Pelodiscus sinensis: one gene and its partners. The protein of the gene in region 3 interacts with the protein of the main gene of each other region in a biochemical or structural test. Links are inferred from orthologs where the notes say so. Each region holds a gene or a part of one and is shown on either strand. Other genes may lie near its edges. The genes, in order: UBA1, UBR1, UBE2B and RNF20.

Region 1 (7,673 bases), on a different chromosome or scaffold from region 3:
TGATGGCTCCGTTCTCAAAGCGCGACAGGTAGAAATCCCGCAACACGACCTTGGCGCGGCTTTGCTGGGTGTGGTAGACCAGGTTCTCCAGCTGGGGGTACGTCGGGCGTCAGACCCCCGCCCGGCCTACAGCGTCAGCCCCATGGCGCCCCTCCCCCGCCAGCCCCACAGCAGCGCCCCCTCCCCCACCAGCCCCACTGCACCGGTCCCAAAGCGTCCCTTCCCCTGCCAGCCCCACAGCGCCTCCTTCGCTGTCAGCCCCCCACAACTCTGCCACCTCCTTCCTCAGGCTGTCTGCCCCACATTAGCCAGCTGCTCCTCCCCCCCCCCCCCCCCCAGCCAGCTTGCCCCCTCCCCTCCCCACCCTACTGGGCACAGCACAGAAGTGGCCACCAGAGGGAGGATGTGAGCTAAAGAAACCAGCCAGCGAACCTCCCAAAACCCTGGCGAGTGGGCTGGGAGCCGGGGCGAGTGGCTGGGAGCCGGGGCGCCTGGGTTCTCCCCCCGGCTCCGGGAGGGGAGCATGGCCTGGTGGGCAGAGCAGGGGATTAGCCTGGCCCCGGTGGCAGCGCTGGAGGGGGGCCCGGGGCTGGGGGGCAGCTGACCTTGAGGTTGCGGTGCACGATGTGCAGGCCGTGCAGGTAGGCCAGGGCCTCCAGCACCTGCCGGACGAGGCTGCTGGCGTCTCGCTCCGAGTAGCAGCCCAGGTCCAGGATCCAGTCGAAGACGTCCCCGCCCGTCGCCCTGCCGGGGCAGCGCCGCACTGGCTTAGCCTGGGGGAGCCCGGAGACCCCCCGTTCCCAGCCACGGAGCCTGCTCCCCCCCGCCCAGGATGGCCCCTCGGACCACTCCAGGGTCCCCACGGCCTGTACCCCCTTTGCTCCCTCTGCTGCAAGGGCAGGATCGACCCCCCCTTCCCAAACCCTGGCGCCCCCCAGCCACGGCCCCAGGCTCCCCTCCCCCCCCAGCCACGGCCCCAGGGTCCCCTCCCCCCCAGCCCTGCGGTGCCCCCCCTACTCACAGCTCCTGGATGATGTAAAATTCCTTGCGCGTCTCAAAGGTGTCGATGAGCTGCAGGATGTTGGGGTGACTCACCCTGGGGGGAGGGAAGGGAAAGTCAAGCCCACGGTACCGCTTCCCTCAGAGCCGGTGCCACCCCACCCCCAAGCCGGGACACCCCCCCCTCCAGCCTGCCCCACGTTGCTGCAGGGACCCCCCCCCCCCCCGCGGGGACCCACCCTCCCCCCGCTCAGCACGGCCAACGGCAGCAGGCTCATGCTCACGTGACAATTCTAGCAAGCGCAAGGACGCTGGGGCCTGCCTCAGTTTCCCTCCTCCATGCACCAAAGGGGAGAGACTGGCTGGAGGCACTCGCAAAGAAGCAGGCACCCCCGGCAGGGCCAGGGAGCTCAGGTGGACACACCAGGGGCCAACAGAAAGACACAGCAGGGCCAGAAATATGCACCCTCAAGAGGATTTTGTGAGGTCAGGCCTGCCTCAGTTTCCCCCTGGTACGTTGCCTTGCTGCCAGGGGGGCTCAGGAGGAGGAAAGCGAGGTGCCGAAGGCGCTCAGGGCCCTCGCGTCCGTGGGCACCTACATTTTCAGGATGAGGATCTCGTTCCGGGCCGCCTGGCGAACCTTCCTGCCGTCCCGCTTCCGGAACCGCTTGCAGACGACGAGCCGGTCGCTCCGGCGCTCGCGGGCCAGGCAGAGCTCGCAAAACTCCTTCCTGGGGGCGGAGGGGGGAGATCGTACAGAGCCCCCCCTCCCATAGCCCCGCCCCCCAACCCCCAGCACCACCCGTTCTCACAGTCATCCTAACTGCAACCACCCTTCCCAGCCTGCCGCGTGCCTCAGTTTCCCCCTGCTGGCTGCTGTGCTCCTGGATGATGTAAAATTCCTTGCGCGTCTCAAAGGTGTCGATGAGCTGCAGGATGTTGGGGTGACTCACCCTGGGGGGAGGAATGGGGAGTCAAGCTGCCTGGCCCAATGGGAATCTGCCACGCCCAGGACAGAAGATCAGGCCACAGATGGGGGTGCTGGGGGAGCCAGTCCTGGGGAAACTGGACAGGCTGGGCGGACTGGGACAGCATTCCTCTCCAGGCATCGCGGCGCCTGGGCCAGGCCTAGGGGGTCCCAGCGAGCACCCAGCCGCCCAAGTGCCAACCCGCTGGGCCAGCCACGTGCCCCTCCCCACCGGGCCACGCCAAGGCCTGCTCCGGCCCTGGGTCCAGGTTCCTGCCTTGTCCCCCCAGGCTCCCGGGAAAAGTGAGGGAGGGCGGCCCCTTTGCTTTCAGGTGGCTCCCCTGGAGCCTGGTAAAACGATCCACCTCCCCCCTCAGCCTCTCTCCCCTGCTTGGGAAACTGAGGCAGAGAACGACCGATTGCCCCTGCGGCTGGGGCAGCGGGGGGGGAGGGGCCCCCAAACACTCACACGCTCAGCAGCTCCCGATCTCGTACTTGTCCGTGATGTCGCCCACGCTGCTGTAGCTCTTCTCCTCCCGCAGCCGGAGGCAGCCCCACGGCATCCTGGGGAGACACAGCCAGACCCCTGCTGAGCCCTTCCTTCCCCCTGCCGCCCAGCCCCCCTGCTCCGCCAGCCAGCCCCACGGCATCCTGGGGAGGACACAGCCAGACCCCCTGCTGAGCCCTTCCTTCCCCTGCCGCCCAGCCCCCCTGCTCCGCCAGCCAGCCCCACGGCATCCTGGGGAGACACAGCCAGACCCCCTGCTGAGCCCTTCCTTCCCTGCCGCCCAGCCCCCCTGCTCCGCCAGCCAGCCCCACGGCATCCTGGGGAGACACAGCCAGACCCCCTGCTGAGCCCTTCCTTCCCCTGCCGCCCAGCCCCCCTGCTCCGCAGCCAGCCCCACGGCATCCTGGGGAGACACAGCCAGACCCCCTGCTGAGCCCTTCCTTCCCCTGCCGCCCAGCCCCCTGCTCCGCCAGCCCAGCCCCACGGCATCCTGGGGGAGACACAGCCAGACCCTCTGCTGGGCCCTTCCTTCCCCTGCCACCCAGCCCCCCTGCTCCGCCAGCCAGCCCCACGGCATCCTGGGGAGACACAGCCAGACCCTCTGCTGAGCCCTTCCTTCCCCTGCCACTCAGCCCCCCTGCTCCGCCAGCCAGCCCCTCTATGCTGGGGCTGGCAGTGCCCGGGCCCTGAACCCCCCTTACAGGATCTGGCTGGGGGATGTCCTTCATGGCCCCCTTAGATCGGGGCTAACCCAGGAGTCCTGGCTCCCAGCCCGGGCATGAAACCAATGGTCAGCAGCTGCCCCCTGGGGTCTGATACCCCGGCAGGCGGGGGGAGCCCAGGGCCGGGCTGGGGGGCTGCGGGTGGGGAGGGAGGGGCACCAGCATGCGGGGGGAGCCTAGGACGGGCTCGGGGGCTGCGGGTGGGGATCAAGGGGCACCGGCGGGCGGGGGGAGCCCAGGGCCGGGCTGGGGGGCTGCAGGTGGGGAGGGAGGGGCACCAGCATGCGGGGGGAGCCTAGGACAGGCTGGGGGGCTGCGGGTGGGGAGCGAGGGGCACCGGCGGGCGGGGGGAGCCCAGGGCCGGGCTGGGGGGCTGCGGGTGGGGAGCGAGGGGCACCGGCGGGCGGGGGGAGCCCAGGGCCGGGCTGGGGGGCTGCGGGTGGGGGAGCGAGGGGCACCGGCGGGCGGGGGGAGCCCAGGGGCCGGGCTGGGGGCTGCGGGTGGGGAGCGAGGGGCACCGGCGGGCGGGGGAGCCAGGGCCGGGCTGGGGGGCTGCGGGTGGGGAGCGAGGGGCACCGGCAGGGCGGGGAGCCCAGGGCCGGGCTGGGGGCTGCGGGTGGGGAGCGAGGGGCACCGGCGGGCGGGCGGAGCCCAGGGCCGGGCTGGGGGGCTGCGGGTGGGGAGCGAGGGGCACCGGCGGGCGGGGGGAGCCCAGGGCCGGGCTGGGGGGCTGCGGGTGGGGAGCGAGGGGCACCGGCGGGCGGGGGGAGCCCAGGGCCGGGCTGGGGGGCTGCGGGTGGGGAGCGAGGGGCACCGGCGGGCGGGGAGCCTAGGGCCGGGCTGGGGGGCTGCGGGTGGGGAGCGAGGGGCACCGGCGGGCGGGGGGAGCCCAGGGCCGGGCTGGGGGGCTGCGGGTGGGGAGCGAGGGGCACCGGCGGGCGGGGGGAGCCCAGGGCCGGGCTGGGGGGCTGCGGGTGGGGAGCGAGGGGCACCGGCGGGCGGGGGGAGCCCAGGGCCGGGCTGGGGGGCTGCGGGTGGGGAGCGAGGGGCACCGGCAGGGCGGGGAGCCTAGGGACGGGCTGGGGGGCTGCGGGTGGGGAGCGAGGGGCACCGGCGGGCGGGGGGAGCCCAGGGCCGGGCTGGGGGGCTGCGGTGGGGAGCGAGGGGCACCGGCGGCCGGGGAGCCTAGGGCCGGGCTGGGGGGCTGCGGGTGGGGAGCGAGGGGCACCGGCGGGCGGGGGGAGCCCAGGGCCGGGCTGGGGGGCTGCAGGTGGGGAGCGAGGGGCACCGGCGGGCGGGGGGAGCCCAGGGCCGGGCTGGGGGGCTGCGGGTGGGGAGCGAGGGGCACCGGCGGGCGGGGGGAGCCCAGGGCCGGGCTGGGGGGCTGCGGGTGGGGAGTGAGGGGCACCGGCAGGGCGGGGAGCCCAGGGCCGGGCTGGGAGGACCCCGCCTGCCCCCCGCCAAGCGCCGATTGGTGACAACTGGACAGATGGACCCAGAACCCTCCTATCGCCCCGGTAACCCCAAGAACCCTGGCTGTTGCCATGGCAACCTGGCTACAGCCTCTTGAAGGCAACAGGAGCCGGAACCTGGTGTAACCTGTGGGGAGGGATAACGGGGGGGGGGGGGGGGCATGGGAGGGAACAGCCAACAACCAACAACTGCAACACGCAACCCAGACAGGTACACAGCACCCCTCCACACACATACACCCAGCATCCCCCCTCCTGCACCCCCCACAACCTCACCCCCCGACACCCCCCACAACCTCACGCCCACAGAACTGCACACAAACCCCACAATCACCTGACACTTCCTGCAACACCCCCGTCCCTCAACACAACCCACAAACCTGCACAACCATGCACATACACTCCACAACCCCCCATGCCCCACACCACTGCACCCCCCACAACACACACACTACAACTCCCCCCACGCTCCCCGATACCCACCTACTATAACACTGTGACACCTCCGCCCCCCACACCATGAAACCCCCATACCTAACCCCACTGCACACACACCCCACAACTACACACTGCGACACTTCCCCACAAACACACATACACACAGTGGCACACACCACACAACTTCCCCACACTCCGCAACCATATACCTACTGTGACATACGCCCCACAACTACACACACAGCATAACCACACACACACCCATGACACTCCCACAACCACATCACAAACACACAAACACTCACACACTGACAAATACCCCACAACCACACATACCCACAACTGCACATATCTGAAAACTGCACTATAACAAATACCTCACAACCCCACACGCTTCAACATTCCACACACAACCCAGACATATACACCATACACATCCCAGAACTGCACATAAACTGACACACTCCACAATTACACACAGTTCACAACTGCACAACCACACACACACTGCAACACCCCACAATCTCCCCACCCTGACACATGACCCACAGCCCCCCCCGCACACTCCACAACCACAAACCCCAACCACACACACACACTGCACCCCACATCCCACAACCACACATACACTCCACAACCTCACATCCATAGACCCCACAATTCCTCCAAACTGGGACAGAACTCCCACAACCCTACACACCCACTGTGACACACTCCACAAATGTACACCCACTGCACCACACAGCCCACAACTGCATGCACACTATAACATATGCACCACAACCATGCACACATGTGCACCGCACAATTGCTTGCACACAGACACACACCACAACTGCAAACACACCACACAATCATGCACATCACAATTACATATGGACTGCAACACACCACAACCTCACACACCACAACACTCACATACTAAACAATTGCATGCATACACTGCAACACTCACACCCCACAACCACACACTGTGAAATCCCCATCCATATGCACACAACCCGCCATCATAGACTCACTTTGACACACACCCCACAACTGCACACACACCTTGATGCATACATTACTGCACACACACACTGTGATTGACACCACAACCCTGCATACAAACACTGCAACATACCTACAACACCAAGACAACTGTATGCTCACGCTGTGACACACACTACCACACTGTGACGCATGCCCCACAGTCAGGAGCACACAGTGCAACAGATACAACACAGCCGCATTCACGCACTGTAATACACAAAAGACCCCAGCCTCGCAGACACACACGGAACATGGAAACAAACACACGGCAACCACACAAACGCAACAAGGAACAGACACACAATCCAGCTGGGCACGAAGACACCACACAGCCCAAGTGCAAGGCCACACACAACTCAGCGTTGTAGCCAGACAACAGATGTGAGACCACCGCAGCCAGCAGCACACCCCACAGCACGGGGCCCAGCCCCGCCAGCAGGGGACACACACCCTGGGGAGGGGTTGAGAACTGACAATGGCAGGGAGCACAATGGGAGCCCCCCAGAATGCCCCCTGCCACACCCCCAAGCACAGCGCCCCCTAGTGCCACCCTTCGGCGGGGCCAACCTTCAGCTACTTTTAACTTTGCCAAACTTCACCTGCCCCAGACTGCCCCACACAACAGCCCACCCCAAATGTGCCCACAGCCCTGCTCCTTTGGGGGGCGAGGAGAGAGCCCAGGCGTCTGGGCTCTTAGCCCCCCCCCAGCTCTAACCACTGGCCCCCATTCCCCTGGAAGGCAGGGAACGAACCCAGGCATGCAGGACCACAGTTCCCCTGCTCCAACCACTGGCCCTCACTCCCCTGGGAGGCAGGGAAGGAAGCCAGGCGTCCGGGCTCGTAGCCCCCCCCCCCCCAGCTCTAACCACTGGCCCCCACTCCCCTGGAAGGCAGGGAGGGAAGCCAGGCATGCAGGACCACAGCTCCCCTGCTCCAACCACTGGCCCTCACTCCCCTGGGAGACCGGGAGGGAAGCCAGGCGTGGGGTCTCCCAGCCCCCCTGCTCTAACCACTGGCCCTCACTCCCCTGGGAGACCGGGAGGGAAGCCAGGCGTGGGGTCTCCCAGCCCCCCTGCTCTAACCACTGGCCCTCACTCCCCTGGGAGACCGGGAGGGAAGCCAGGCGTGGGGTCTCCCAGCCCCCCTGATCCAACCACTGGCCCTCACTCCCCGGGAGGCAGGGAGCGAACCCGGGCGTCCGCCCCCCCTGGCCCCGCCCCGCCCCGCCCCGGCTTACCTGGGTCCGGTCACCGCGCCCCGCGGGCGCAGGGGCCCATGGCCGGAGCGCGGGGCGCTGCGCCTGCCTCCCCCGAGCCGCCGGGGAGCGAGTCCAGCGCAGCCCGGAGCCGCGCGGGGCGGAGCGCTCGGCGGAGCGGAGAGAACTAGGTCGGGGGCAGCGGGGCGGGAGCGGAGAGAGTCGGGGCGGGGGGGAGACGGGGAGCCCAGGGCCGGGCTGGCAGGGACCGCGGGGGGAACCGAGGGGCCCGGCAGGGCTGTGTTATAGGGGGGCAGTGGGTCAGGAGGGGCCCGGCAGG
Region 2 (7,302 bases), on a different chromosome or scaffold from region 3:
GGTATTACACTCTTAGAGTTCCCTACTGCTTACAATCACGTTTCCCTATATTTAAAAAATGTTCTCTGATGCTGCAGGAAAAGCTCCAACAGTGAAACTGATCGATTCTACAAGGAAACAGTGAAACTGAAACTATACACACAGCAATGTCAAATGCATAAAGTGAGGGCATTGTTTTTTTCCCCTTTCTAATCTTTCAGAGAATGTCTAGACTACAAAACATCAATTTAAAAATACATTAGCCATGCCATTTTAGTACAATTCTGAACACAAATTTGCATTGATTGTAAACAGCACAAGTTATATTTAGATAGCTTTGTTTAAGTATAGCAAAGAAGTGCCCTAAATAAAAATATGGTTTCTCCTTGAACTTTCTTTGACAAAAGATGCAAAATGAGAAATCCCGAAGTTAGTGATTTTTTTTTTCAAAGCAGCACATTGAGTTCAAGAGAAGTAGTCAAAATCCAAATCCAGATGCTGGAAGAGAGAACATGCTGAATGGGGAGGGAAAGGGGGGAAAAAAACATAGGTAGATGCACTAACAAAGGGCAGTAAATAGGGGAATAAATGCAACATAATCTCACCAGAAACCCCAGCTTCTTTGAAGCAAAATGCAGGACAATGTAGCACTTTAAAGACTAACAAGATGGTTTATTAGATGATGAGCTTTCGTGGGCCAGACCCACTTCCTCAGATCAAATAGTGGGTCTGGCCCACAAAAGCTCATCATCTAATAAACCATCTTGTTAGTCTTTAAAGTGCTACATTGTCCTGCATTTTGCTTCAAAGAAGCTGGGGTTTCTGGTGAGATTATGTTGCATTTATTCCCCTATTTACTGCCCTTTGTTAGTGCATCTACCTATGTTTTTTTCCCCCCTTTCCCTCCCCCTTCAGCATGTTCTCTCTTCCAGCATCTGGATTTGGATTTTGACTACTTCTCTTGAACTCAATGTGCTGCTTTGAAAAAAAAAATCACTAACTTCGGGATTTCTCATTTTGCATCTTTTGTCAAAGAAAGTTCAAGGAGAAACCATATTTTTATTTAGGGCATTTGGTTTGTTATCTTTAAGAAACATTAACCAGTCATTTTTAAGTGTCTCTTCAGAGGGATATGACTTTTAGTTTGTAGAAATGTTGGCTTATGGTATTTCACATCATTAAGAACTCTTGGGAAAGGAATCTTATGTGGTATTCAGACAATTTTCCTATGAATACAGAACAATTTCTTTCCATGTGTAATTTTACTAAGGCCTTTCAAAATCTTGATCTCTATTCTGTGCTAAGCAGTTTTGCCCTGAAGAAAAGAGAAAGAACTGTGGATGTTTTTGACAAGCTTCATTTAAATGAGCATTTCCTTGGAAGAGTTTGGGAGATAAAAACACTCCGGGGGTGTGGGGTGGCAGGGACTGTGTACTATATCATTTTCAAGAAGATAGCGGTAGCTAATCCATAAACTACTTATGGCTATCTGAACAGCTGTGTATGGAAATGGAACACAACCAGACTTTTAAGATGATTTTCATCTGTAGATCACAAAGTATCAAATGCCTTGCAACAGGCTTGTTATTATTTAAGTTACTAATCCATACACTGAATTTAAATTCAACACCACGATGTCACATTTTTCTGTATGCTATTCTGCAAGTATGTATGTTTGAATGTCGAATGATATCAGTCAGTTCAATCCTACACCATTTTACCAATCACTTTAATTCCCTGCTATTCTGTCAAGCAGCTGGAATTCCTACCCCATGTTTAAAATAAACTCTATGTTTTAATTTTATGTTAGTACACAAAACAGTGGTTTTGCTAAAGTAGAATCAATGGAACATTGGAGCCCAGTCTATAGCTCTGATGACTCCCAACATTAGACACTGACTACATTCTTGGGTAGTTCTAAAGTCTACTTTAGAAATACAAGATACAGAAATAAAATAGTTAATTAGTATGTAATTCCCACTTAACATTGACCTGATACAGGAGACTAGACTACAATATTTTTAACAGATTTTCAAACTAGTGTTTTCAAGCAAGATTTTATGTTTAAATTTTTGAGTCAATACTGTTCCCTTTATTTTCATTTGAAGCCTTCAGCTTTCCACTGGCTGATGAAAGAAAATAAGATCCAGTTATATATACACATATAGACACAAATACAAATCAAGTGACAAATAATAAAGGACCCCCAAATGTATATTACATATAACAACCCAGAAATTAGCAAATATTTATTCTACTTCAGCTTCAACATAAATATAACTTATTTGGTGCATGAAGCATATTGCCGCTAATAAAGGGGCCTTTTCCCTAATTTGAGACATGTGTATGTAGACAGATGGAAAAAAAATCAGATTATTCTCCAAGACAACCTTCAGATTAGAATAGAATTATGAGGCAGATGATTTAATTTAATCACTTTCAACAACTGATTCTATGCAACTTCAAGCAAAGCACTTGATGAGGAGAATCCTCCCCTTCCTGCATAGTAGGAAGGTATTACTTTTCACTAGCAAACCAAATGTACACAACAGATAACCCTTTATTAGGTAACTGCTTGTTGTAACATCCTGCTCCACAATATCGTGGGGTATATTTGACTACTCTGCTTTGCTGGGGCATCAGGGCCATATTTGCTTTGCAACTGAGTGGCTATTTAGTATTTATCAGTCTGTTATTCCAACACAGGGAAACTTGCATTTAAGCAAAATACTGCCATCATCCTTTATCTCAAGTCCATGCTATGATACCTTTACCCCACCTTTCACTGAAGACCATCTCTACAATGCAGCCGACAGTTTGTCACTGCTCCTCTTACTGTGGGCTTAGTGGTCTCTACACAGCGCACGAGTGTCACCCTCGCATGGAACTGTGCCACTTGCAAACAGCCATTGCATGCAGGGCAGACAATGGGCAAAAGGGAGGACAGGTGCGTCCACACTCGGTGGCGGTGCTGTCACACTCCAGTGGGCAAGTCCCCACTGGGCAGGTACCTGGTGGTCCTTGCCCAGGGGGCCCTCACCTGCTCTGAGGGAAGGCGACCAAGGGGTCACTGCTCCCCCACGCGGGCAGGGGGTGAGGCTCCCCTCCGCTGGGGGCTCCAGCGGCTACCAGGTCACCACAGGCAGGGCGTGGGCGGCTCCCGGGAAGAACCCACAGGGCAGGAGTCTCACCATGGCCCGCTCCGGGAGCTGCACGGAATCCCCACCCTTGGCTCCTGCTCCGGCTCCTCCATCCGCCATTTTGAGGGCAAAAGACACGGCTGCCAAGCCCCGCCCCGCAGAGCCAACCGGAAACAAGTTGCCGGGGCAGCCGGGCCAAGCTTTAGCGGCCGAATCTGCCTCCCGACTGTGAGCGCACCTAGCTGCCACTGAGCATGCGCTACCGACCTGTGCCTGCGCAGTCACAACCGCTGAAGCCGCTGCCTTTACTTGCTTTCAGATCCGAGCCTATTTCCGGCACAGAGGCAGGGGAAAAGCCAACGGCGGGCGGGGCCACAGCGTCCTAAGGCTAGCGTGGCAGAAGCCACCTTCGAAGGGAGCAGCCAGCGGGGGTGACCAGAACATAGAAGCAGAAGGACTGTTACGTTAAGGCTGCATTTCTCTTCAGGGTTTCTTCTGAGGGGCAAGCCCACGTTGTTGAAACATTGCAGAGCCCTTTGTGAACATGGGTATGTTGGCAATCAACTGCTCTTGAACAGAAATAAGGTTGTTTGTGCAGAGATTTGCATTGGTTTAATTAAGGGCTTGTCTACACTAGAAAGTTTTTACCAGTCATACCGGAATAGTTAAATGACTATGCTTCTAGAACTTCCCGTTTGCACGTGTATTCTGGAATAAGGCCAAGTCGAAATGAGAGGCCTACATCAATATAACTAAATTCAGGGGCAGATGACTGTTTTGCGGCCCCCCCCCCCTTTGCCACGGCGCATGAGCGGGGCTTTTTTAAGCGCGGGGCCCGGGGCAACCGCCCCGTTCGCCCTGCCCTATATCCACCCCTGACTAAATTGCTCAGGTGTGAGAGAAATCCTCATGCCTGAGCAACAGTTATACCAGCTTAACCCAGTGTAGACAACACTATGTCAGGAGGGGTTCAGATACAATCCCTGACCTGCTGGGAGGGTTTCTCCTTTTCCCCTACATCTGGGCCCACAAATAGGAAGGGAGAATGTTCAATGACCTGTACTTATGCCCCTATCCCTCCGCTACCCCTACTGTCCCCTCCCAGTTCTCACCCTCTTCCATTCCCTATTACTTACCTCATCCCCGTTTATTGTTTTCCTCTTACCACAACTTCCAAACCCTCTCAGTCTCTTCCTCCATCCATCCTGCATTCCCAATCCTCTCTCTCTTGCCCATATTCTTCCAAGGAGACACTACAGGCATAAGGAGTGACGGGGTTCTTCACTTGCTCTGGCCCAGAACCCCACAAAAGCTTAATCCGCTTTTGATTGTGAGCCTCTTATATGGGTATGTGTCTCAAGACCTCTAGGCCTTTAAATACTCTGTTACATTGTTCAGAACTTAGGTTATACTATCCTAATTGTCTTTCATTTTCCTTTCAGTTAAACACTGGCATGAATTTCCGGAAATGCTTAAAATGGAATACTATTCCGTTTTCAGTTTTTCTGGAAAAGGAGCATCTACATTGGCAGGCTCCTTTTCTGGAAAAGCCCTTTTTCCGGAAAAGCGTCTGTGGCCAATGTAGACGCGCTTTTCTGGAAAAGAGCCCCGATCGCCATTTTCGCGATCGGGGCTTTTTTCCGGAAAAGACTACTGGGCTGTCTACACTGGCCCTTTTCCGGAACAGTGTTCCGGAATAAGGACTTATGCCCGAGCGGGAGCAGAATAGTTTTTCCGGAATAGTGGCTGATTTTGTACAGTAGAGCATTGTTGCTTTTCCGGAAATTCAAGGGCCAGTGTATAGAATCATAGAATCATAGGACTGGAAGGGACCTCGAGAGGTCATCGAGTCCAGCCCCCCGCCCTCAAGGCAGGATCAAGCTCCGTCTACACCATCCCTGACAGATGTCTATCTAACCTGTTCTTAAATATCTCCAGAGAAGGAGATTCCACCACCTCCCTTGGCAATTTATTCCAATATTTAACCCCTCGGTAGCCGCTACCAAGGGGTTGACTCCACTTATTATACCTTTCCAGCAGGATTGTGAACCATTCATAACTACTCTCTGAGAACGGTTATCCAGCCAGTTATACACCCACCTTATAGTAGCCCTATCTAAGTTGTATTTGCCTAGTTCAGTGGTCCCCAACCTGTGGAGGTTGCCGGGCGCCAGGGGGCGTGGCCGTTCGCCCGCCGGGCACCAGGGGGCGGGCACGGGGGCAGGGCCCCCCCATAGCCGCACCCCCCCCATAGCCGCGCCCGGGGCCGGCGCCCCCCGCCCCTCCTCCAAGTGCCCGGGGCCACCTCCAAGGGCCGCGCGCCCGGGGCCAGCGCCCCCTCCCCCCCAAGCTCCGTGCACCCGGGGCCGGCGCCCCCCCTCCTCCAAGCGCTGGGGGCCGGGGCCGACGCCCCCCCTCCTCTAAGAGCCCGGGGCCGGCGCCCCCCCCAAGCGCCACGCGCCCGGGGCCAGCGCCCCCTCCGCCCCAAGCTCCGTGCGCCCGGGGCCGGCGCCCCCCCTCCTCCAAGCGCCCAGGGCCGGCGCCCCCTCCCCCCCAAGCGCCGCGCGCCCAGGGCCGGCGCCCCCAAGTGCCCGGGGCCGGCGCTCACCATGCGCCTGGAGCCGGCTCCGGCACTGTGCATGCGCCACGTGCCCAGGGCCAGGCCAGCCCCGGGCACGTGGCGGGCGTACACGAATGCCCCCACGGGCGCCATGGCACCCGCGAGCACCGTGTTGGGGACCACGGGCCTAGTTTATTGATAAGAATATCATGTGAGACCATATCAAATGCCTTACTAAAGTCTAGGTCAGTGGTCCGCAATGCAGTGCCCACGGGTGCAATGGCGCCCGCTGGGCCATTTCTGGGCACCCGCCAAGTGATCGGGGCCAGCTCCACCCCCGGGCACGTGTGGCATGGGTGGTGCTGGCCCCTGGGCACGCAGCACATGGGTGGCCGCGCCCCTGGGTTCACGGAGCAAGGACTGTGCCGGGCCCGGGAGCGCTGCGTATGGGCGGCTCCGCCCCCAGGTGCACTGCGCAAGGGCTGTGCCGTCTCCAGGCACGCAGTGTATGGGCGCTGCTGGCTCCTGGGCGTGCGGCACAGGAGCGGTGCGGGCCCCAGGAGTGCGGCGGATGTGTGGCACCGTCACCGGGCATGCAGCATATGGGCGGCCCCGGCCCCGGGTGCACAGCACAAGGGCTGTTCCAGAACCAGGCACGCGGTGAATGGGCTGTGCCGGCCCCGGGCGCGCGGTGCATGGGCGTCCTCACCCCTGGGCATGCAGCGCACGAACGGCACCGGCCCCGGGCGCACAGCGCGTGGGTGATGCCAGCTCCTGGTTGTGCGGCACAGGAGCGGCGCCAGCCCAGGGAGTGCAGCGCATGGGTGGCACCGGCACTGGGCACACAGCGTATGGGTGGCCCCACCCCCGGGCGTGTGCACAGCCCCGCCCCCGAGTGCCCGGCGTGTGTGCGGCCCAGCCCCCAGGCGCCCGGCAGCCCCAAAAGTTTGGGGACCACTGGTCTAGGTATACCACATCCACTGCTTCTCCCTTATCCACAAGACTCGTTATCCTATCAAAGAAAGCTATCAGATTGGTTTGACTTGTAAAGAACAAATCGTATCCATGCTGGCTGTTCCCTATCACCCTAATTATCTTCCAGGTGTTTGCAGATGATTTCCTTAATTACTTAAACTGACTGGTCTGTGGTTTCCTGGGTTGTTCTTATTTCCCTTTTTATAGATGGGCACTGTATTTGCCCTTTTCCAGTCTTCTGGAATCTCTCCTGTCTCCCATGATTTTCCAAAGATGATAGCTAGAGGCTCAGATATCTCCTCTATCAGCTCATTGAGTATTCTAAGAGGCATTTCATTAGGCCCTGGTAACTTACAGACATCTAACTTTTCTAATTGATTTTTAATTTGTTCTTTTTTAATTTTATCTTTTAAACTTACCCTCTTCCCACTAGCATTCACTATGTTAGGCATTCCTTCATCAGACTTCTTGGTGAAGACCGAAACAAAGAAGTCATTAAGCATCTCTGCCATTTCCAAGTTTCCTGTTACCGTTTCTCCCTCCTCACTGAGCAATGGACCTACCCTGTCCTTAGTCTTCCTCTTGCTTCTAATATATTTATAGAATGTCTTCTTGTTTCCCTTTATGCCTGTAGCTAGTTTGAGCTCA
Region 3 (7,229 bases):
GGATGCAACAGGTAAGGTAAGTAGCAGCTAGGCATCAACTCAATGGTTCCTAGTTTTGTAAGTTCAAATCAGGATTTTAATATTGTTTTAGAAAGTTGTGTGTAAAGCTACATATGTATCATACACATATGACAACTGCTTACAGATGTAATTTTGCAGTACCTGCACATAGAGCTATCCCTAAAAAGAAACACTATCAAAGTTAAATTATTGGAAATAAGTCATCAGCTACGTTAATTCATATCATGTTGAAACAAAGCATACAATTTAAAGCCTATAACAATTAGCTTTTAATTTTTTTCTACATGCACAACAGATGTAGTATATAACATGTAATTAAATGACAAACTGGAACAGTTGCTAAAAGAGTCTCTCTAGCTCAGCATGTACCATTTTTAAACAGTCTCAGAGGCTATGTCTACACAGCTTCCCTCTTCTGCAAAAGCCTATATTGAAGCACATATTAGCATACTGCAAATGAAGCACATAGCCATGCTTCATTTGCATAATTAGGAGCCCTTTTTGCACAAAAGGTTTTTGTGCAAAAAGGCGCCATCTACACAGCGCCTTTTTGCGCAAAACCCCTCTCTTGAGCAAGAGCCGTTCTTCCTGAAAAAATGAGGAAAAACGGCTCTTGCACAAGAGGGGGGTTTTTGCACAAAAAGGCGCTGTGTAGACGGTGCTTTTTGTGCAAAAACAGCTCCTAATTAATTATGCAAATGAAGTGAGACAGTATGCTAATCTGCGCTTCATTTGCCCAGGCTTTTGTGGAAGAGGGAAGCTGTGTAGACAGCGCCAGAGGGGTAGCCATGTTTGTCTGTAACTTTAAAAACAACAAGTGGTCCTGTGGCACCTTCTATTTCCATTTGTATATTAGCAAAAACATAGTTATATTCTGTTTAAAAATGATGAGTAGTCCTGTGGCACCTCAGAGACTAACAAAAATATATATAGTATCATGAGCTTTCGTGGGAAAAACATACTTCATCAGGTGATGAACAGAGGAGCTGATGAAGTGGGTTTTGCCTATGAAAGCTCATGATACTATTTATACTTTGTTAGTCTCTAAGGTGCCACAGGGCTACTCATAATTTTTAAACAGAATATAACTATGTTTTTGCTAATATATAGCAAAAGGTCCTTGTTTACACAACATTTTAAACAATGTGAGACAGAAGTTATCAACCAGAATAGTATGTACAAGAGTCCAGAAGTGTTTATCAGTTCAGTGTGCATAATTAGGTGCCCAGACTGAGACAAGCTTTCATTCAGAAGGGCCAAGAATCTGACACTTCTATTCACTTCAGCTGGAGTTGTGGCTCTTCAGCAGTGGGAGGATAGCGGCAGGAAGGGTAGAAGACCACCAAAAAACTATCTCAAGGCAGGTTCCCAAAAACTGAGGACTGTCCCACCCATGAGGGAACTCATCTCTGAAAAATTTAGCTTTACTCACTAAGCATTTCACTTCCAGGCCCACAAAAAAGTTACTAAAACCAACAAGAGAGAATGTTGATGCCGGATCTCCAGAGATGTTTTTTAAAAAAACCAAGATATTTGAATAATGAGAGTACAGATGGGCATTTGAAACCTGCATAAATATTTACAGGCTCAATATTCTCTCCTCTGTCAAGTTCCAGCCTGAAGCAAAGTTTGACATCATAGAGCTAATTCCCTTATATTAGAGAGTTACTGCATCATGGAATCTCTGATATAATTATAATGTACTACTTTAAATGTTATAAATAAACGCTTGGTCTATAAACAGTGGCTTTTAGGAATGATACAGGCTGTCTAACAGACCACATGCAATATAATGAAAGGCTCTTTGGACATTTCTCATGTTGACAGAAAAAGGAGAGTGGCTATTGCTTTAAAGACATAAGGCATCCTGAAGACAGGAATGAGCAGAGAACTTTAGAGGAAGTAACTCTAAATAAAAACAAAAACAGACTCCTTTCTACAGAAGCAGAGGTTTAACCAATATCTTTAGTGGGATAGGAGATGTTAACTTTCTTATTGATGTGCATGTGTAGGAACAGCATTTACCATATAGACCCAAGTCCTTTCAGCATCTCCGTCCCAAGGAATTCAGGGGTAAAAGGCTGCTTATCCTGTAGTCCCAACTCCAGTAACAGACCTTTGACAAACCAGCATTTTCCTTTACCAGCATAAAGTGAGGTTTTTGCATTCTAGATCGTGTCTGCTCTCAAGGAAAGTGAAGTTTGTTTCTGTGTTATTAACTCTCTCAAAGAACAGTCCAGCATAGGGGAGGAGAAACAGGACAAAGATAAAGCAGATTAAATCCTGTACCTGGAGAAGCCCTAGACTGAAGTACATACTTGATGTAGTGGGGGGAATTAAGGGATTCAATGTAGTCCAGTGAATAGGGCTCTAAGCTGGAAGTCAGCATATTGGATTCTATTTCTAGCTCTGTTATTGACTTTGGGCAACTTGCTTCACCTCTGCAGACTCCATTTCCCCATGTAAAACACAAGGCAGCCATATGGACCTGTCCTTTGAGGAGAGTGCTGTTCAAGAGCCAAGTGTTACTACTGGCCTCCAGACCAGGTCAGGCTGGTCTTGAAGCAGATACCCAGGATTCATGATGGATCTGCCTACACCCTGCACGGATCGCAGGCTTGGACGGGGCACTTCCTGGGTGCCAGCCTCAAGTGGGTTTGGGACAGCTCCTTAGGCGTTACTCTCCCAGCTCACGGGGCCAACCTCAGCTCAGCAGCGGGCGGAAACAAAACAGGGAACCCCCTTGCATCTCCATCCCCACGCCAGGGAGAGGAGCTGCTCCCACTCCTCAGCGACAGGGGGGCTACCCGCCGAGCCCTCCAGGAACACACAGGGGGGGCTCCTGGTAATATGGGGGGTGCACCGACCCCCTGTCTCCCCGCTATTTTAATTGCTGAGAGGTGGCCCCCCCGCACTGCCTCCCTTGGGATGCAGACCGAAGGGGCTCCTACCCCTCTCCCCACACAAAGCAGCTCCAGGAACTTGGAGCTCAGCCCCGCAGGGCGGCTCCTGCCTGGGCCCTGCTCCGCGCAAGGCATAGCGGGGCGCCAGCGAGACCCACGGGGGGGAGCTTGGTGCCCCCTCGGGGAGGGGGGGGGCGATCCCAGCGCGCAGCCTCCCAGGCGAGACGCTCACCTCTTGAAATCCCTCATGAGCCTCCGCCTGGCCGGAGTGGACATGATCCTCTCTGGGAAAAGAGTCCCTGCCCCCACGGAGCCTCGGCACCGCTCACCGCGCCGCGGTCTCCCTCCCCAGCCCGCAGCGGCTACACAAACAACCCTGCAATGGCGTCTCCCTCCGCCGGGGGGAGGGAAAGTCACAGGCTCCTCCGCGACCGTACCACTCGCTCTGCCGAGGGGAGGGCGGAGAGAGAGGAACGCACCACTACCGGGAGGGGGAGGGAGCTTCCACCCCTCCAACGTGCCGCTGGGGGGCGTCAAGGTGCAGACGGTCGAGCCGCAGAACGCGCAGCGGCCCCGCACGGGGTGGGGGGAGCTGCTGCGCTGTCCGCGAATCGCGTCCCCGGACCTGCCCGGCTTGCAGGGAGCAGCCCTGGAGGCAGGAGAACGCTCTGAAGGCGCCACTCAGACCCTGCCTGACAGGTTCCCCGGGCTTTAGGAACATGAAGAAATAGCTCACACCCATGTAGGTGCCGCTGGAGCTGGGGGTGTTGCCCATCACCTGGCTTGAAGAGGCTTCCATCACAGAGGGGGTTTACAGCTTAATTCATTGGCAGGGTCTGGAAGAGAGTTTGGCGGCAGGAGAGGGGGTGGGGTGGGGGTACGAGAGGGAGTTTGGGAGCCGAAGGGGGCTGGGGGAGTATCACAGAAAAGGCGAGAGGATGAGCATGCAGCCAAATAGATAATTGAGGAGGGAGGCAAAGAAGTGGGGAGTAAAGGAAAATGCAACTTCTGCAAAGTAAAAGTGTCATCTTGCCTCTGTTCCAGCCTCACTCTCCCCTCCCCCCCCCCATCACCCCATGTCCCTCTGTGCAACCCCGCCCTGTGATGGGATTTGCAGCCTCCTGGGAGTAGCACTGGGGCAGAGTCTCTTCCCTGCCCGGATCAGCCCTTTGCCTGCTGGTAGTGGTTCTGGGGTTGGGGCAGGCAGAGCCCAAGGCTGGCTCCATGCAGCAGGGCACTGGGGAAGGGGCTCCTCAACCCCGCACACAGCCCGCAGGGAACAGCGTGGCATAGCCCATTCTCTACCATGCCACGTGTGCCACCCGCCCAGCCCTCGCTCTGCAGAGCAGGCCCAGCTCTGCCCCCTCCTGGAGCAGGAGACAAGAGCTGGGGATGCATGCCTCTTCCCATCCCCCTCGCCAGCAAGTTAACAAAGAGGGGCAGCCACCTGGGCGGCTTCCCCTTTTTGCTCCAGCCAGGGCTGGATCAAAGAGAGGCAGTTGCCCATCGACTCCTAGGGGCGCTGCGATCAACTGGTCGATCACGATCGACTGGTTGGTGATCACCATCCTAGGCACATGAGCAGTCTTGACAAATTCCCACCTATCCTACTCTCAACAGCCAGGTGTGAGGCTGGGCATGAAAACTTCATAGATCAGTAGGGTGGGGAAAGTGGGCAGCAGCTTCCCCCGGCCCTTCCCTGCCTTTCACGCTTTGTACCTGGATTGAATTAAACCAGAGAAAGACAATTTCATTCCAAAATAAAAAAATCCAAACATGGAGCTTTTTGAAAATAGCTACTCTGCTTTAAATTCACACTTATTCCAAAATTACTTTCATGTGTAAACCAGACCTAGTCGGGGATATTATACTCAGGACATAGTTAATGCTGCTTCCAGCACAGTTCCCCAAGAAGCTCATATTGTTGAAGCTGCGCTTATGCTACAGGGACTATACTGGTATAGCTATATTGCCACAACATAACCCAGTACTAAAAACTCAACCTACACTGATAGAGGGGTTTTCTCATCTGTATAGAAACAGTAACTCCCTGAGTGACATATGTTAGGGCAATGGAAGCATTCTTTCAATGACAAAGATGTGTCCACACTAAGGGTGAGGTTGGCATCTCAGAAGTATGGATTTTTCAAGTCCTAAGTTAGGGATGGGCAACCGAGGCTAATAAGTGGGCTGCATGAGTGGCCCTCCTTCATCTCAATGGGCCACAGGATTGTTGTAACAAAGACAGTCTCTTTGGAGTGGGTAGTTTTGGTAACTGCACTTGCGTACCTAGAATTTCCAGGGTGTGCCAAATGAACTGTAGCAGCCATTTGATGAGCTGCAAAGAGAGTGCAGGGCTCTCACACATCACTTTAGCACATACATCACTTCATGTGCCCTTGCTTTAAGCTTAAAAAACAAGATGGACAAAACCCAGCAGAATCTGGCAAGCCTGTGTGTGGGCAACAGTAAACAAAATGTCTTGTAGGTCCACACAGAGCCCCAATGGGCTGTATGCAGCCCTCGAGCTGCAGGTACCCACTACTGCCAATGTGGCTACATCAATATAAATTTTAAATGTAGACCATGCTCAAGTCTTAAATTGCCATACCGTAATTACCATTAAGCCTCTTCCCCCGCTGCATCATGAAGGGGTTTCTGTGGTGCCCAAAGGCTGTGGGGTAATGGGATGTGCAATTTAATTGTTTCTCCCCCTTTCTTTACAATAGTGCCAATCCTAAGCATTCAAATAAACTCTGGTCATCTGAAGAAGTGGGCTGTGCCCACAAAAGCTCATGATACCATCTACATGTTTTGTTAGTCTATAAAGTGCTACCAGACAATCTGTTGTTTTTTAAGTTTATCCTGTACAGACTAACTCAGCTATCCCCTGAAGCATTCAAATATTGTGACCCAAGGCTCCAAAAACTCACAATAGCCTTATAAATAATTACATTTAAAAATAATATATTTTGGGTAATACAGTTTTGATATAAATTTGTTTTGGGGAGTATTTTTGTTTCTTTTTTTGACAAAACAAAAATTCAGTGTCTGTTTCCAATGGAAATTTTCTAGTTGTCATATGAGAACATTTCAGTTTTTAGGTTTTTGATACAAAGTCAAAATTTTCAACAGAAAAAAATCTCAATTTTCTGACCACTTCTAATTGTAGGGTTTTGTTTGTTTGTTTGTTTATCTAGTGTTTAAGCCTTTGACGTATACTTGAATTACATTTCAAAACTTCGCCTGCAAACATGAGGACTAGAAACTTAAAAAAGAAATTATAGCTGAGTTTCTCGTGTAATGATATGACTCCAAAATAGGGCTTAAAGAAAAATTCAAAAAATCAAGAAGCAAATGGTCTGGCAGCACTTTATAGACTAACAAAACATGTAGACGGTAAAGTGCTACCAGACCATTTGCTTGCTGTTTTTTTTGTAACAGACTAACTTGGCTACCCCCTGAAGCTCCAAAAATCAAGAGAGGTGTGATAAAACTGTAAGGCTACGTCTACAATGCAGGCTTCTGCAATGTCTCTGGGGAGGACAGGAGCAGCGTCTCAGGGTGCATCTACACAGCAGCGTTATTTCAGAATAAAGACCGTTATTCCAAAATAAAAATGCAAGCGTCTACACAGCAATTCCATTATTTCGAAATAAATCTGAAATAACGGACAGCTTATTCCGACTTCTGTAAACCTTATTGCATGAGGAATAACGCCTATTCCAAAATAGCTATTTTGAAATAGCAGTAGTGTGGATAGTCCACTGCTGCTATTTCAAAATAGCTCTTCTGCAGGGCCATTCAAAGTAATTACTCCTCAGTCCATCCTGGGGCTCTAAATGGAGGTAGCAAGTCTACATTAGGGAAGCCTGCCTCAGACTAATTTTGAGGATTCCCTATAGCAGTGGTCTCCAACCTTTTTACACCCAAGATCACTTTTTAAATGACAGAACAAGCCAAGATCTACCACCCCGCCCCTTCCTTGAAGCCATACCCTCTCTATTCTCCTCCTCTCCATCACTTGCTATCCCCAATCCTTATACTGCTGCTTTTTTCCCCAATTCTTCTGTAGGAAGAGGTTTTTCCAACATTTGGCCTGTCTAGACTGGACCAAATGTCAGAAAACCCCCTTCTTTTGGAAGCCCCCTTATTCCTCGTGGAAAGAGGAATATAGGGGTGACCGAAATATCATGTTTGCTCTTCCACTAAAAAGCGGAAGAACAAACATCCCTGGATGCAGAAGAGCTTTTCTGGGATATCTCCAGAATCATGAAAAACTCCTGCAGTCTAGCCGTACCCTCA
Region 4 (7,738 bases), on a different chromosome or scaffold from region 3:
CATAACAGGGCTCCCTATTTTGAATGGCCTACTGCAATATGGGTATTTCAATGTTAATTTCTCATTATATAAATGTATTTTACTTGTTTCTCTGCATTTTTATTGTAATTAGTTCACGTTTAAATGTTTTATTTAAGATCAATCATAAAAAACATCAACAGACAAAAAGAACAGGGGCAGAACTGCTCCAGCTGATGATTTACAAAAGGTTACCAAAAGGTTCTCAGATGACGCAGGGAATTGGGACGGTGATGTTCCCGATGAGGATTCTTACATTCTAATTCTGACTGGACTCAGGAATGAAGGGTTTGGTAAGACTCCTCCTTCTATCCTATATGTCTACAGCAGCCTGACTCTATTATAACTGTGCTAGAAGGAAATGGTGTGGCTCAGGTTGCCCTGGCAAAACTCAGCAGCAGATCTTTTCATATCTGCCAACATCTGCAGACTATAAATAGGATCACTGGAGAGAAAGTGTGAGGATAGTCCTTTTAATTCCACTGAAAGCTGCTGCTTTTTACAAGCTTACTAAAACTCCTTGACCTACATGTTGAGAAAGGAAGGAGTGGAGAATCCTGCAGCAAACCAGGGATGTAAATTCCTGGTTAAAATGTTAACTGGTTAAGTGCTATGTTTAACTGGCTAACCCTGGAGCAGCCCCACTCCCACAGTATGATGCAATGGGCCCATTCCAAATCAGGCAGTGTCCACCACGCTGCGGGAGGAGGGATGCTCCAGCCAGGCCAAGAGTTCAGTTAACTAGTTATCAGGTTAGTATTTTAATTTGACCCCCAAATCATTTTAAAAATAGTAATCTTCAAAACTCAAGACCACCACTTCTATTACAGGATTTTTTCCTCCACTGAAGTTAAACAAACAAACAAACATGTCCTGGAAATATTTTTAACCCAAACATTGCAAGACTGTGCCAATACAGGTGAACCTTCATGAAACAGACTAGCCAATTTTTAGGGCCATATCATCAGATGATGTAAATGGCCACAGTTCCACTAACCTCTCTGATGCTGAGCCCATTCACAGGAGCTGAAGATGTGCCTCTACCTACAAGCTGAACAAAAAGCAAAAGTAAACAAAACATATAGTATCAACAGATTTTTAAACTTCTTTCCATTTTACAGCGGTATTTCTAATACAGCTAAGGAATTCGCTTGCAAACATGCAGACACTTACTTTGAAAGCATATGTGAGTAAAGCAAATCAGTGTGTGAATTAAGTGCTTTGCTCAATCAGAGACTTAGGGTACATCTAGACTACATGCCTCTGTCGCCAGAGGCATGTAGATTAGGCTACCAGACATAGGAAAATGAAGCGGCGATTTAAATAATCGCCGCTTCATTTAAATTTACATGGCTGCCGCGCTGAGCTGACAAACAGCTTATCAGCTGTTTGTCGGCTCAACGCGATAGTCTGGACGCGCGGGTGTCGACGTCAAAGGTATTTGTCGACCACCCAGGTAAACCTCATCCCAGGAGGCATACCTGGGTGGTCGACAAATACCTTTGATGTCAACACCCGCGCGTCCAGACTATCGCGCTGAGCCGACAAACAGCTGATCAGCTGTTTGTCAGCTCAGCGCAGCAGCCATGTAAGTTTAAATGAAGCAGCGATTATTTAAATCGCCGCTTCATTTTACTATGTCTGGTAGCCTAATCTACATGCCTCTGGCGACAGAGGCATGTAGTCTAGATGTACCCTTAGTTTGCAATGTATTATTTTAACTTGACAGTGACCCTCTCAAGTGTCTCATGTTTTGAAATCTCTCCAAGACTTTTATAGCAGGTCCATACCATCTTTTAAATGTCTTATAAAGAACCTTAAAATGTCCAACATCTATGAGCTGAATCCTCCCACTGCCATCTCCTTCTCACTCTAAAATGTGACTGAAGGAAGATTTTCAGTTCCTTGTGTTTAAAAATGTCCCTCTTTTTCAATGGAGCATGCTTTTGTTATTTGTGGGATGTTTTTTTCCACAGAGAGCACTGTTAACAGAAACCAACAGGCTGACAGAAAAAAAATACCACTCTCAGAAAATATCTGTGTGCACCGCCCCACCCTTAGGGGCGATTATCCCATCACTCCCCCTCACACACACACCCCAAAAAGCCCCCACTGATCAAGTCACCTCACCCAACCAGCCCAAGTTCAGCGTTGATATTGCCCCTCCCCACCAGACACAGAACAGGGGCTGACCCCTACATACCTCCAACTAACTGATATCCTTCTACTCTATCCCAGGGGCGAGTCCCCCTCCTCTTACTTCCCCCATACCCCACAGCCCACCTTCCCCCAGCCCAGGGGCCAAGCCCCTCCTGCCCCTGACACTCCCCCATCCTACATGCCCCAGCCTGAGCCTCCGCTCCCCTTACCCCAGGCCAGGGGCCAACTGCCCCCCCCTCCGCGAACACTTCCCCACTCCCCCCCCCCGACCCCCCTCACACTCAGGGGCCAAGCCCCCTCCCCTTCTGCCCCTCCCCCATGGGCCAAGCCCCCTTCCCCTGCCCCTCCCCTATGAGCCAAGCCCCCTGCCCCTGCCCCTGCCCCTACGAGCCAAGCCCCCTGCCCCTGCCCCTCCCCCCACGAGCCAAGCCCCCTGCCCCTGCCCCTCCCCCACGAGCCAAGCCCCCTGCCCCTGCCCCTCCCCTATGAGCCAAGCCCCCTGCCCCTGCCCCTGCCCCTACGAGCCAAGCCCCCTGCCCCTGCCCCTCCCCCCACGAGCCAAGCCCCCTGCCCCTGCCCCTCCCCCACGAGCCAAGCCCCCTGCCCCTGCCCCTGCCCCTCCCCCACGGGCCAAGCCCCCTGCCCCTGCCCCTCCCCCACGAGCCAAGCCCCCTGCCCCTGCCCCTCCCCCACGGGCCAAGCCCCCTGCCCCTCCCCCTCCCCTACGGGCCAAGCCCCCTGCCCCTCCCCCACGGGCCAAGCCCCCTGCCCCTGCCCCTCCCCCACGGGCCAAGCCCCCTCCCCCACGGGCCAAGCCCCCTGCCCCTCCCCCACGGGCCAAGCCCCCTCTCCTCCCCGCAACACCCCAGCCCCGAGACTCACCCCCGGCCCAGCCACCGGGCCTCACCTCCGGCCTCCCAACCCTGACCCTGCAGGAAGCGGCCGGTGACAGCAGCTCAGCCAATCCCCGCCGGCGTCTCACGTAGCTTGTCGCCCGGCAGCGTGCCCTCAACAAACATGGCTGCCCTCGCCCTTTGCCTGCCAGAGGCTTTGAAGCCACTCTGCCCTTCCTCAACAGGGCGGCCACCGCCCACCGCCTGACAGGCTCTGCCGCCGCTCTGCCCTTAGTTGCCATGGCTACCGCCTCTCATTGGTTCCTAGGGGTTCGAAGTCAGGCGCCCTTCATTGACATGGCGGCTGCAGCCCTGCCTCTTGTCAGGGGACGTGGCTGAGCTGAGGGCACGAGTGGGGTACAGCAGGGGACCTAGAGCAGCAGCTGGGGGAGTAGGCGACCCCATGGCCTCGCTCCTCCAATGCATTTAGGCTCCCCACTTCCTAAATACCTTGGAATATTAACTAGCCCCTGCAGCTGCGGGGGTGCAAACCAGCCAGCCGGGGGGAAAGGAGGGAGGCACCAGCGAGGTGGGGGTAGAGATGCAGCCCTGTTAGTCTGGTGTCACTGAAACAAAAGACAGGACTATGCAGCGCTATTAGGTGATGAGCTTTCCTGGGCCAGACCCACTTCCTCAGATCAAATAAAGCGACGAGGAGTCCTGTGGCACCTTATAGACTAACTGAAGTGTAGGAGCATAAGCTTTCGTGGGCAAAGACCCATTTCGTCAGATGCATGTACATGCATCTGACGAAGTGGGTCTTTGCCCACGAAAGCTTATGCTCCTACACTTCAGTTAGTCTATAAGGTGCCACAGGACTCCTCGTCGCTTTTGCAGATTCAGACGAACACGGCTACCCCTCTGATACTTCAGATCAAATAGTGGAAGAAAATAGTCACAACCATAGGATACAATTAAAAAAATGAACACATATGAAAAGGACAAATCACATTTCAGAACAGAAGGAGGCTGCGGGGGGTAAATGTCTGGGAGCTAGTGATCATTGGGGACGCTATCTTTGTAATGGGCAAGATAATTAGAGTCTTTATTCAAACTTAGATGTAAAGTGTCGAATTTAAGCATGAATGACAGCTGGGAGGATTCTCTTTCAAGTGTAGTCTTGAAAGAGGTGGGGTGGGGGTAATCGAGGTGTTGTGAAATAGTAAAAGAGATGTAGCCCTGTTAGTCTGGTCTAGCTGAAACAAAAGACAGGACTATGCAGCACTTTAAAGACTAACAAGATGGTTTATTAGGTGATGAGCTTCCGTGGCCCAGACCCACTTCCTCAGATCAAATTGATGTGTTGTGGCTACTTGGTTAATTTGATGGCAGCACATTTGTTTTGCCGTTTATTTTTTAAAAATTGCATTGTGCAATATAAGCCAGCAGGTGCCAGGCTTCTCTCAGTCAGCACCGAAGCCAGGGACCATTGGTGGTGAATAGGTGTTGGCAGGCACTGCATACATAGATGCTCCCTTCAGTTGACAACTCCAAAATGCATATTGACAATTTGTGAAGCAAATGAGCAAGGGCCAGAGGGAAAGCAGTAAGAAACATAAGACACGTGCTGTGACTGTCTGCAAGTCAGTTCACTGTTCTGTGCGTTAGTTTTCCACATCCATAGTGTGGATTACACTAATGAACAGGACAGGAATGTTGGAAGGACAATGATTGTGCAGAGAACTGAACATGAAAGCGCTAATGATATTATTGCAGGTAACTAAAATATAAGATTTTATATAGATGCTGCATTCTCAGGCTGGCACCTCTCAAACCATTCATTCATTGTCCAAGCACTGTCTCTCTCTTACATACATTCCCTAATTAATGTTTCACATACAGTATTTTGTATAATAATAATTTTACATGTACAAGCATTAAATAAATGCCTCCTGTACTGATCCCATAAACTCCCTGCTAACAATAGCATAATTGTCAGAGGGGGAAATACTGGCAGTATTGGAAATACTGGAAATACTGCCCCTTACAATCAGGGATGTAAACTTCCAATTGTATGCAACATCCAGGTGCATTAAGCTTGCCTTACAGGCTTAAAGTTGATTTAAACATTCCAATTAACACTGATTTTTTTTTTTTACACAATGTTTTCACATATCTATCCTTTTTGTTTAGTAATTTAACCTTGTGCTTTATGTTTATTCCTTCAAGTTTCTTATCAATAGATAAACTTTGTGCTCCATGCAGTTTTTCTTTTAAATGAACCTTTACCACTTTTTCCAATTAGCAAGATTCAAATTCCTTGGCCTCTACTCTTTTGAGATACTGGTGTCTGTAAATACACTCAAATTGCATAATGCTTATTAAACCTTTCCTGCCTAGTGCAGTATAATTTTTTTAACACAGTATACTAGCTAGGAAGACAGACAGACGTTAGACAAACACAAAACATAAAACAATCTTTGTTGCAACAATACATCCAGGCCGTGTCTACATTGGCACCCTTTTCCGGAAAAGGGATGTTAATGAGACACTTCGAAATTGCAAATGCCGCTGGGGATTTAAATATCCCCCGCTGCATTTGCATAACATGGCTGCCGCTTTTTTCCGGCTCGGGGTTTTGCCGGAGAAAAGCGCCAGTCTAGACGGGATCTTGCAGAAAATAAAGCCTTTTCCGGAAGATCCCTTATTCCTACTTTCAAATTTGCTTTTGCAATTCCGAAGTGTCTCATTAGCATCCCTTTTCCGGAAAAGGATGCCAATGTAGACACAGCCCCATAGTGTTGTAGGGGGTTCTGCTGGTACCAGCTTGTCCTGATTTTCTGAAAGAAAAAAAAAACATACTTCTACCCCTTTGGGGGTGGCACATTATTATTTACATACTTTCTCTTTTACAAATATGCTTTCATTCCTCTTTGCTTGCAATTACTCCTAGGCTTCATCTACACTGGCATGATTTTCCAGAAATGCTTTTAACAGAAAAGGTTTTCCATTAAAAGTATTTCCAGAAAAGCGCGTCTAGATTGGTCCCGGAGTTATCGTTATAACGATGCGCTTTTGCGGAAAAGCACGTCTAGATTGGCGGCGTGCTTTTTCGCAAAAGCAGAAGCCCAGAACCATTTTGAAGAGGGCAAAAGGCCACCAGACCTTTCCGGGGGCGGGGCCAGAGCTCCGTTCAGACACGTGCTTAAAGGGGTCTCGCCGGACAGCCATTTGTCTCATGCTCCCGTGCGTTGGGACCTCTGGCAGGGACTGACACCCTTAGCAGGTTTGGTGGTTGCCCTCTTACTTTTGGGGACACCACCCTTTGGCCCCCAACTGCTTTTTCCTGCGTTTTGTTTCTTCTGCCCTGCTCTGTCTGCCATGGAGCTGTGGGTGGCCATGTGCCTGCTCGGACCCCTGTTGGAGCTGTACAAGTGCCTGCAGCTCGTGCTGTAGGCCGGTGCCCTGGTGTTCCAGAACCAGGAGGCAGAGATCGCATTCGACTCCCTCAGCAGGGAGGCGCTGGCGACCCTGTGGCATAAGCACCCCACCGTGGAGAGGCCAGTCTGGAGTTTGGACACCAGCACCGACTGGTGGGAGCAATGGCTCCGGAATTTCCGCATGAGAAAGCGAACCTTCCTGCAGCTGTGCGCCTGGCTCACCCCCGCACTGCAGAGAGCCACCACCCGGCTGTGGGCACCCATCCCCGTGAACAAGAGGGTCGCCATCGCGCTGTGGAAGCTGGCCACACCAGACAGCTACCGCTCGGTGGCACAGCAATTCGGGGTGGGAAGATCAACCATCGGTGTGATCGTCGTGGAGGTAAGTCCCAGGGGGAGTGGGATGGGGGGAGGGTGCTGCCCAGGGACAGCCAAGACTCCAGGCTGGGTCGCCCAGGGGTTTGGCCTGTCCCTCCCTTGCACAGGCCCGCTGGTGGGGGAGGGAGGCCGTGGAGCGAGGGGGGCCCTGGTGTGTGTGTGTGTGTGTGTGTGTGTGCGCGCGTGCGTGAGGACAGAGGGAATCAAGGGGGGGCCCAAGGGAGCGCACACTCACCTCTGCCGTATGTGATGTGTTCCCCTGTGTTTCTCTGCACCCTTCTGCAGGTCGTCCACGCCATCAACAACGTCCTGCTCCCAAGAGTCATCCGCCTGCACGACGTGGATGCTACCATGGCCGGCTTCGCTGCCCTCGGGTTCTCCAACTGCAGGGGAGCCCTGGACGCAACCCACATCCCCGTCTGGGACCCGGAGCATCGAGCGGCCCATTTCATGAACAGAAAGGGGTACTGCTCCATTGTTCTGCAGGCCCTCGTGGACCACCGGGGCCGCTTCCTGGACATCTACAGGGGCTGGTCCGGCCGGGCACATGACGCCTGTATCCTCCCCAACTCTGGACTCTTTCGCAGGTTGGAGGCGGGCACCTACTTCCCCCGGCGGGACTTGACTGTCAGGAATGTGCCTATGCCCATCTGCGTCATCGGGGACGCGGCCTACCCCCTGCTGTCCTGGCTAATGCGGCCCTACACGGGGCGGCCGGACCAGAACCGGGCCCGGTTCAACGACCGCCTCAACCAGGCCCGAAATCCGGTGGAGCTTGCCTTCAGACGTTTGAAAGTCCTCTTCCGTTGTTTGCTCACCCGTCTCGAGATGGGTGAGCGGAATGCAGCAGAGGTACTGGCCGCGTGCTGCGTGCTCCACAACATTGTGGAGCGCAGTGGGCAGGCCTTC

What was found.
Region 1: of the proteins of UBE2B (region 3) and UBA1, one has a biochemical effect on the other in vitro, tested with the Homo sapiens proteins (10 studies listed by BioGRID, with this or other methods). The link is inferred for Pelodiscus sinensis from reciprocal best matches to the Homo sapiens genes UBE2B and UBA1.
Region 2: the proteins of UBE2B (region 3) and UBR1 form a complex in vitro, tested with the Homo sapiens proteins (2 studies listed by BioGRID and IntAct, with this or other methods). The link is inferred for Pelodiscus sinensis from reciprocal best matches to the Homo sapiens genes UBE2B and UBR1.
Region 4: the proteins of UBE2B (region 3) and RNF20 form a complex in vitro, tested with the Homo sapiens proteins (4 studies listed by BioGRID, with this or other methods). The link is inferred for Pelodiscus sinensis from reciprocal best matches to the Homo sapiens genes UBE2B and RNF20.

What each region holds. Positions count from the first base shown.
Region 1 is NW_027465846.1:72,703-80,375, reverse strand, and holds the start of UBA1 (ubiquitin-like modifier-activating enzyme 1), read right to left. Parts: upstream 3,218-7,673; 5' UTR 3,203-3,217; coding exon 3,176-3,202; intron 2,531-3,175; coding exon 2,436-2,530; intron 1,731-2,435; coding exon 1,599-1,730; intron 1,097-1,598; coding exon 1,022-1,096; intron 745-1,021; coding exon 606-744; intron 92-605; coding exon 1-91. UniProt on the Homo sapiens protein: Catalyzes the first step in ubiquitin conjugation to mark cellular proteins for degradation through the ubiquitin-proteasome system.
Region 2 is NC_134714.1:67,178,243-67,185,544, forward strand, and holds the start of UBR1 (E3 ubiquitin-protein ligase UBR1), read right to left. Parts: upstream 3,367-7,302; 5' UTR 3,240-3,366; coding exon 3,171-3,239; intron 1-3,170. UniProt on the Homo sapiens protein: E3 ubiquitin-protein ligase which is a component of the N-end rule pathway. Recognizes and binds proteins bearing specific N-terminal residues that are destabilizing according to the N-end rule, leading to their ubiquitination and subsequent degradation.
Region 3 is NC_134727.1:28,263,404-28,270,632, reverse strand, and holds the start of UBE2B (ubiquitin-conjugating enzyme E2 B), read right to left. Parts: upstream 3,361-7,229; 5' UTR 3,201-3,360; coding exon 3,157-3,200; intron 1-3,156. UniProt on the Homo sapiens protein: E2 ubiquitin-conjugating enzyme that accepts ubiquitin from the ubiquitin-activating enzyme E1 and transfers it to a E3 ubiquitin-protein ligase. In vitro catalyzes 'Lys-11'-, as well as 'Lys-48'- and 'Lys-63'-linked polyubiquitination.
Region 4 is NC_134716.1:7,956,552-7,964,289, forward strand, and holds the start of RNF20 (E3 ubiquitin-protein ligase BRE1A), read right to left. Parts: upstream 3,164-7,738; 5' UTR 3,061-3,163; intron 2,244-3,060; exon of another isoform or gene 2,222-2,243; intron 1,070-2,221; 5' UTR 1,016-1,069; intron 1-1,015. UniProt on the Homo sapiens protein: Component of the RNF20/40 E3 ubiquitin-protein ligase complex that mediates monoubiquitination of 'Lys-120' of histone H2B (H2BK120ub1).